Linked DNA regions of Mus musculus. The protein of the gene in region 1 binds, or shares a complex with, the protein of each later gene. Links are inferred from orthologs where the notes say so. Each region holds a gene or a part of one and is shown in the gene's direction. Other genes may lie near its edges.

Region 1 (3,649 bases):
CATAAATTACATCATTACAAAACAAGATTTTGCTAGGTAAATGAAATCTTTTCAGAAAGGAAGTAGTAAGATATGCATTTATTCACTACTGAAGACTAAAAATTCTTAGAGATAGTAAGAATTATAAGATAATTATTTAGTTAATATAATTAGGAGAGGATCTTTTTTAACACTCTAGATTTTATTCCCCTCCCAGTCCTCCCTCTGACTGTTCCCCATTCCATACCTCCTCCCTGCCCCCCTGTCTGCACAAGGATGTCCCTACCCCACTAGACCCCTAAACTCCCTGGAGCCTCCAGTCTAGGAGAGGTTTTAATAGTGTATGGTACAAGTTCATAAACTAAACACATGAGGTTACTCTTAATAGGATTACCGATATGAGTAAAAGATAAACATTAGTTGAAATAAGTTTAATGGAACAAGAATGGACATGTCTTTAGACTTTTATTTCTATTTGAAAGTAACATGCAATCTAAGTAATTTCAAATATTTTTTTTCCCTTTTAGAAATCAAGGAAGGACTGAGGTAAGATTATTTATATGAAAAATTTACTGAAATCATGAGCTGTGCATGGTGCTACATTCCTGTAATGCCAGCACTTGGGATGAAGGGGTGGGTGGATCAAGAGTTCAAGAGCATCCTTTGCTGCATTGCATGTTCCAGGCCAGCCTGGGCCACCTCAGATCCTGTTTCTTAAAGATCAGCAGCAACAGCCAAACCACAGTGAGAATATTTAGTTATTTGTAGTTGTTTGCATTCTGGAAAGTTCCAGTTGAAATGAAAATATCCTGATGGTCATGAATACATACAGGTGTTAAGTACTCCTTGAAGGAATGAAAGGGCCTCGAAGTTCATTTTGAACCTGTTTCCCTTTCAGCACTGTGAAACAGAATACTTTAGCATTACTTCTGTGGGACAGAGACATTTGGTGTGGAATTTTGAGCATGTTAGATTTTGAACCATTGAGTCTAATTCATACTATGTATATGGTACCTATCATAATAGTAGCTGTATAGTCAATTCATGATCTTCCTGTCTAGTTAAAAAATTATTGATTTTCAAAAGATGGCCTAGTCGGCCATCACTGGAAAGAGAGGCCCATTGGACACACAAACTGTATATGCCCCAGTACAGGGGAACGCCAAGGCCAAAAAAAAGTGGGAATGAGTGGGTAGGGAAGTGGGGGGAGGGTATGGGGGACTTTTGGGATAGCATTGGAAATGTAATTGAGGAAAATATGTAATAAAAAATTATAGATTTTTATACATATTTTTAATATAATAGTTATTCTTTAGGGGAGTAATGGCATATGGAATAGATCATTTAGAAAGAATACTTTCTATACTTTACAATATTATTGAAATTATTTTTTAAACGGCATATTTTAAAGTATTTAAAAATAGATATCATATATTCATACAATAGCTGTTAATGTAAAAATGGAGTTTATTCTATGCATTGACTGTTTAAGGTTTTTAGAGTAACTAGCTTGCTCCTTTTATTTTTCAAGTGCAGTTGATTTTTCAGTATAAAAATACTTACTCAGCTTTTCTTCTATGTGCCAAGCACATGTTAGGTCTTAGGGATGTGTCACTAAAAAAGTAACTTCAGTCTTGTTCTAGAAAGACTTCTTGAGCCACAGACTAGAGAAGACATTGGTAGACAAGCTTCATCATTATGACACGTGGGGATAAACCTTCTGTTTATGACTGAGATTAAGGATTTCATGGTGACATTTAAGAAATAAATAATTAAGAGACTCACATCTTTAAAAAGGTTTTAAAAAATAATTCACAATCAAAATGTTTGTATAGATATTTTGAATATAAATGTCTGTTTTAGTAAGCTTTGGTTAATTTGGCCTTTAGGTATCATTTACTTTGAACGAGGATCTTGCAAATATTCATGACATCGGTGGGAAACCAGCTTCAGTCAGTGCTCCTAGAGAACACCCATTTGTCTTGCAAAGTGTTGGCGGACAGACATTAACAGTGTTTACGGAGAGCTCCTCAGGTAAGGGGGACAGAATTATCCACTATGGTGCCCGTGTGTATTGTATAGACTTTCTGTACCGGCCTGCACACCTATTTGCTTTGTTGGAAACACCACCTACTGTTTTGTCTACCTGTGTGTCATGCCACTTTTCTGCTCTCGTAAGGTTTTTTTGTTTTGTTTTGTTTTTGTGATGAAACGTTGACCATCCCCTGAGAAGAGCTAATTCCCCTGGGTATAAACGTAGAGAGCAGAACAGATGGAAGAGCTGCTCTCTAAGAATCTGAGTCCTGCCAAGCTAAGGCAGCCCTAACTGGCTTTGCTGAACTAATATAGAGCAAATGTAAGTTATGCTTTAAATAGCGCTTAGTATTAGGGAATCAGTTAGTTTGCCTTCCTGTGCTTGTGTGCTTTGTGTTTTGAAAGCCTTTATATTTTATAAAGATTAGCTTTTGTTGGCATTAGCTTCTAGAAAATTCTATGAATGAGTGATGGTTTTAAACTGTGTGTGATAGCAGTGTGGCCTTGTAACAGTTCAGTAAGCCAGTCGCAATCCGTTCAGTTGCTACTTAAATAAGGAGGAAACTTCTGCTGCCTTGTTTTCCTTAGTTTTTTACTTTTATCTTGTACTGAATTTAGAACATTGCTATTAAAGCAGCACCCACCTCTATTCAGTAGAATTAATTTTCTCCTATCCGAAAGGTTATTGGTTATGTAAAAGAAAAACATTAATATTGTTGGATCGTAAACATTTTAAAGCAAGCTGTAAGCTATGTATACTAAGAGAATGTTGCTGTTTAAAAAAAAAAAAAACCTCACATAGCACTTTTGTCATAGCTTGGGTTTTAGTAACCGTGTGAACTGATCTATTCACTTTCCAGAACCTGTGTACACTGTTGGATTTCCAGTAGCTGCATAAACTGATGTAGTCTTCTTTTCTTTTTTTTCTCCTTGATGAGTATAAAACAATGATGAGTATAACTTTGGGGACATGAAGCCGGAGCTAAAGGATTAATTTTGCTTTTATTACTTTGATGCTATGTTAATTTGTTGTGTGTTAGAGAAATTTTAAAAGTGATTGTTTTTTCTTTATCGTAGCTAGCTCCCAAATAAATGAGACAGAAACTATAAGATTTATTAGCAAGCTGTACGGCACAATATCCGAGAAGTTATCAATTCTAATCCTCTGAGCTAATCTGGCTACCTCCTAACCAAAATCCCCAAGATACTTGCATCTTAGTGTGATCTGCTCTCTCTGCTGTGAGCGTGTTCTCATGGTGTCTCCTGGGCCCTCTTCATGTGGTGAATCTCTTCCTCTCTTGCTACCCCTCCCCAGGCTGGGATCAGAAGTTCCGCCTATTCTCCCTTTGCAGTCATTGGCTGATCAGTTTTAGAATAAATGGGGAGAAAAGTGTATACAAACCTTGAGAGGGGAGATTCTTAGAATAAGCATTACAATGCTGTGTCTGGATTGCAATCCAATGTGGGGGCAGAGAAATCAGCATTTCAATAATACAAGGATAATCTTTACACAGTGTACTATAACATTATGCCTACAGGGTGTAGAAAATACACATTTGTCTTGGAAGGGACTCTGCAGGGTCAATAGCTGTTTATATTATGTTAATTGTTCAGGACACAGCGCATGGCGTACAAG
Region 2 (4,442 bases), on another chromosome or scaffold:
GCCTGCGTGACCTCCTTGAGGCTCTTGTGATGGTTTGGCTGTTGGCTGTTCTGCAAAGCACTCTTCTGTGTCTTGCAGGTTTAATCCCCCTCACTAGTGATGACATTGTGGACAAGCTGCAGTACTCCCGGGTATGTGTGCTGGTGGGAAGACTGGGGCCACGGGGAGGGGCCGGGGGATTGTTCTCCCTGGAGTCTTCCGGGGTGTCTCCCTTCCAGTTGTTGTGGCTGATGGTGGAGATGATGTCTTAATAGTGTGGTCCTTGGTTCTGATGGAGCATCGGATTGCTCTCAGCACATCCAGGCGTCATCAGTGAGCCTCAAAAGGGAACACACGGGTGGGTGTGGTGGCGCACGCCTTTGATCCCAGAGCTTGGAAAGCAGAGGCAGGCGGCTCTGTGTGAGTTCCAGGACAGCCAGGGCTGTACAGAGAAACCCTGTCTCAAAACAACAAAAAGAGTCCGGGAAACATACCCACTTTTACGTACGTACAGGTCTGCCTCTGTGTCTGAGCAGGTGGGCTAAGGTGAAAAGAGGGCATCAGAGCCCCCGGAACTAGTTACAGGCAGTTGTGAGCTACTGGATTCAGGTTCTGGGAACTGAGCAGGAGGTACTTCTAACAGCTGAGCCATCTCTCCAGCCTCCATTTATTCTTTTCGGTTTTGTTTTCGTTTTTAAGAGAGTCTCACTATGTTGTTCTGGCTGGCCTTGAAGTGAAATCTGCCTGCTCTGCCTCCTGCATGCTGTGGTTATTAAAGGCATGTGTTCCCATGCCTGTCTGAGAAATGTTAATAAAACACCGTTTATTTTTTCCTCTGTAGTTAGTAGATGTTAATGCTTTACTACATTTGCCTGATTTTCCTCTAACCTTTTAGATAATAAGTTGCACGTGCTCTACCCTTCCCTTCTACATACTTGAGCGCATGTCTGTGCTGTAATCCTCTATGGCTAGGTAATCCCTCCCCAAATAATCTAAAACTTGAAAGGTGTTTCGGTTTTTTGGGGTGGTTTGTTTGTTTGTTTGTTTTCCTGTTTTTCCCTTCTTTGTATTTTCAGTTAATTGCCAAGCTGGTCTGCATAAACAGGACTATATAGTCCCATACAACCTTGGTCCCTTGAGATGACCTCTCTAGGCACTGCTATATTAGGAGTGGGCCCCCTAGTGGTCAGCTGTAGCAGTGAACATGGAAAGGAAGTGTAGTTAGTTATCCTGAGGTGAACCAGATGTCACAGCCCAGAAGGGCTGGGACCGTGGTCACCCCTTTTCACCAAGAAGAATCTGGAAAGAGCTGGATAGGAGAAGCAGAGAGTCCAGTCTCCTCATCCTAGCTGTCCTCCTGCCTCAGGACTGCACATGTGAAGAGTTCTGCCCTGAGTGTTCTGTGGAGTTCACTCTCGATGTGAGGTGCAATGAAGACCAGACGCGCCATGTCACCTCCCGAGATCTCATCTCCAACAGCCCCCGGGTTATTCCGGTTAGTGTCTTTGCCCTTCTCTGCCTGCCTCCAAGTGGGACAGATTGGAGTGGGTCTTTATGAGGCAGATGCTAACCTACCCTGTGACCATCTACGTTAACTGCCACCTAGACGTGCTGGTCCTGAGTTCCTGAACAGAGCAGTATTAGTGCCATGTGCCCTATGTTGTTCAAAGACCCCATTAAAGGCCTCTGGGTTCTTTGGACAGCTCTGCCATCTCCTTCTTCTTCTCAGCCTCCTTTCCCCGGATTGACGGATTATAGGCTGCATTTGCTGAGAGACAGTTGCCAGAGGTGACTGAGAGGTGAGAGGCTAATGCATACTTGTTTGGGCTTCCTACAGGTGACATCTCGGAACCGGGATAACGACCCTAATGACTATGTGGAGCAGGATGGTAAGGGGGTGGGGCGGGGGGGTGAATGGGGGTGAGGGGGTGGGGCAGGGTGGTGAGGGGGTTGGGCAAGGGTGGTGAGGGGGTGGGGTAGCATGATAAGAGGTGGGGCAGTCAAGCGGGTGGCCAGAAGATGCAGAGGTCAGATGTGCCCCTTTGAGTTGCCTGGTATCTTTCATTCATCTTTGGACCCTTTGCCAAGATGTGGATTGTCTTCATGCAGTACTACAGGTCACAAGTTGGAGAACTTGCCTCTTTTTGTTCTGGCTCACTCTCACCTCTCCCTGCAGACATCCTTATTGTCAAGCTGAGGAAGGGGCAGGAGCTGAGACTTCGAGCCTATGCCAAGAAGGGCTTTGGCAAGGAACATGCCAAGTGGAACCCTACTGCGGGGGTAGCTTTTGAATACGATCCAGACAACGCACTTAGGCATACAGTGTATCCCAAGCCTGAGGAATGGTATGTTCCTGGGGGGAAGGGGAAGCAGCAGTGGCTGTAGTGAGCGATAGGTGGGTAGTGCTCTGAGAGCCTTGCTACAAGCAGAAGTAGCCCCTGTGCCTCACCTGTGCTTGCCCTCAGGCCCAAGAGTGAGTATTCCGAGCTGGATGAGGATGAGTCGCAGGCTCCCTACGACCCCAACGGCAAGCCAGAGAGGTAAGACCCCAGGCCTGCTTGCGACTGTAATTGTAAATAGAGGTGTGGGAGGCTGTTAGGCAGTCACACACCCAAGCTCACCACACCCCACCCCATCCCCCACCCTGTGATAGAAGAGCTAACTGCCAAACTCACATACACATCTTGAGTTGGTCTTCCTTCCTCTCCGGTCACTGTGAGGAAAGGGGCCTTATTAACCCCTGCTGTTTCTGGCCTTCCTGTTTGGGCTCAGGCCAGAGCAAGACTGACCATAGCCCTCCCCTGAAGTGCTGAAGGGCTGTAGCCAGCATCGTGTTTGGTTTTTCCTGCTGTCTCTGGTGTAGAAATGCACATAGAGTCATCTTAGGGTTTGTACAGCAGTGCTCTTTAGAAGTAGCTGGAGCTTCCTCGGGGAGCTGTGAAGTGGATCTGGACCATTGCGCATAAGGAGTCTCAGGAAAAGGGAAGACCCTGTCCTGAGCTCAGGGCCTCATAGGAATGGAATCAAGTCTCAGAGGACAGAAGGGAAGTCTGCCCGAAGCCGGAGCTTTGCCTCACGAGAGCTCTCACCCCACTCTCGTCTCTCAGGTTTTACTACAATGTGGAGTCGTGTGGCTCACTGCGCCCTGAAACCATTGTCCTCTCAGCCCTGTCGGGGCTAAAGAAGAAGCTGAGTGATTTACAGACTCAGTTAAGCCATGAGATCCAGAGTGACGTGCTCACCATAAACTAGCCACGGCTCGCCTGCCTCCGAAGACTAGGTTCACGGTGGCTGGACTTCAGGCCTCGGGAGCCCTTGTAGTTTCTGGGCTATGCACTGCACAGTCTGCCCCCTGGAAGGCCATCGGGGAGATGGCCAGGGTCCCACTGGTGTTAGACATGGCGGGTTTTATTAAGCGTTGAGCATCCCGGGCCCTACTGTAGTGGTTTTCAGGCAGCATGGGGGGAAACACACACCAGCACGGAAAAGAAGGAATATTTATTGATCAACAGTAGTTGTCTTTTTAAAAGTTTTTATTTTTGGCAATAAAGAGCACAACATAATCTCCTTCATGCGTCATCGTGCCACTAACTGAGCCAGTTTTGCCTCCCTCCCAAAGGGTTGGGCCCATTTCTTGTACAAACTAGCTGACCTCTGGGTGGTCATTTCCTGGGTCACAGAGTTGGGCTGGCTGTGCCACCTCCCTGGCTCTAGGGCACCCCCTGGGAGGGGCCCCTTATCATTCTGCCACACATGTGAACAGTGGTTATTTACAAGGTCTGTTCCCACAAATCAGAACCCTAAAGTATTAAAAAACAGAAACACGCAACAAAAGGTTTGATGTGAATAGAAAGATAGCCCTTCTGCACGGTAGTCAATAAATACCAGCACTAGAAAATCAATTGCTTTAATTGCATTTCAGCAGGGAGCCTCAGCACCGTGTGGGGAGATAGGAAAGTCTTAGTTTTGGAATCTGGCCTGGGGTGGCTGGCCTGGGCAAGGGACTCCCCCTGCTGGAGCTTTATACCCCTGGTCAGTGAAGGAGAGCAGCAAGGTGCTCCCCACAGCAGTCCTGCTGCAGTCCTCCCTCCGGGCTGGCCCCAACTGTCCTCTGCTGCCGAGGTAACGGGAGCCCTGCCCAAAGACATCTTCAGCCTACTGAGCAGGAAGGGGCCAGTGCAGAAAGTGCATTTAAAAACCAGATGCCGCCTCTGCTAAACACTCCCAAGTGCAAGGCTGCCACACGGTACAGTGAAGTTTAGGACTCTTCCTGTGTCACTGTAGGCCCAGAGGACAGAGCTACCTGCTGTCCTGGCCCTTGGGCTTCTGAGGAAGAGCCAGCAGACAGCACCAGTCTGATTGTCCCCCTCCTCTGACCCTGGCAGCTCAGGCCATCTTGGCAGCAGGAGAGTTGTATCACTGAGGACAGGCACTGCCACCCTCATACTCAAAAACAGCCTTGA

What was found. The genes of interacting proteins can lie anywhere in the genome.
Region 2: Gtf2f2 (region 1) and Polr2c share a complex: the UniProt entries of both Homo sapiens proteins name them as parts of the TBP-based Pol II pre-initiation complex. The link is inferred for Mus musculus from reciprocal best matches to the Homo sapiens genes GTF2F2 and POLR2C.

The regions. Positions count from the first base shown.
Region 1 is NC_000080.6:75,993,785-75,997,433, reverse strand, and holds part of Gtf2f2 (general transcription factor IIF subunit 2), read left to right. Parts: intron 1-506; coding exon 507-525; intron 526-1,868; coding exon 1,869-2,013; intron 2,014-3,649. UniProt on the Homo sapiens protein: TFIIF is a general transcription initiation factor that binds to RNA polymerase II and helps to recruit it to the initiation complex in collaboration with TFIIB.
Region 2 is NC_000074.6:94,860,366-94,864,807, forward strand, and holds the end of Polr2c (DNA-directed RNA polymerase II subunit RPB3), read left to right. Parts: intron 1-78; coding exon 79-131; intron 132-1,345; coding exon 1,346-1,474; intron 1,475-1,816; coding exon 1,817-1,868; intron 1,869-2,155; coding exon 2,156-2,324; intron 2,325-2,444; coding exon 2,445-2,519; intron 2,520-3,086; coding exon 3,087-3,231; 3' UTR 3,232-3,877; downstream 3,878-4,442. UniProt on the Homo sapiens protein: Core component of RNA polymerase II (Pol II), a DNA-dependent RNA polymerase which synthesizes mRNA precursors and many functional non-coding RNAs using the four ribonucleoside triphosphates as substrates.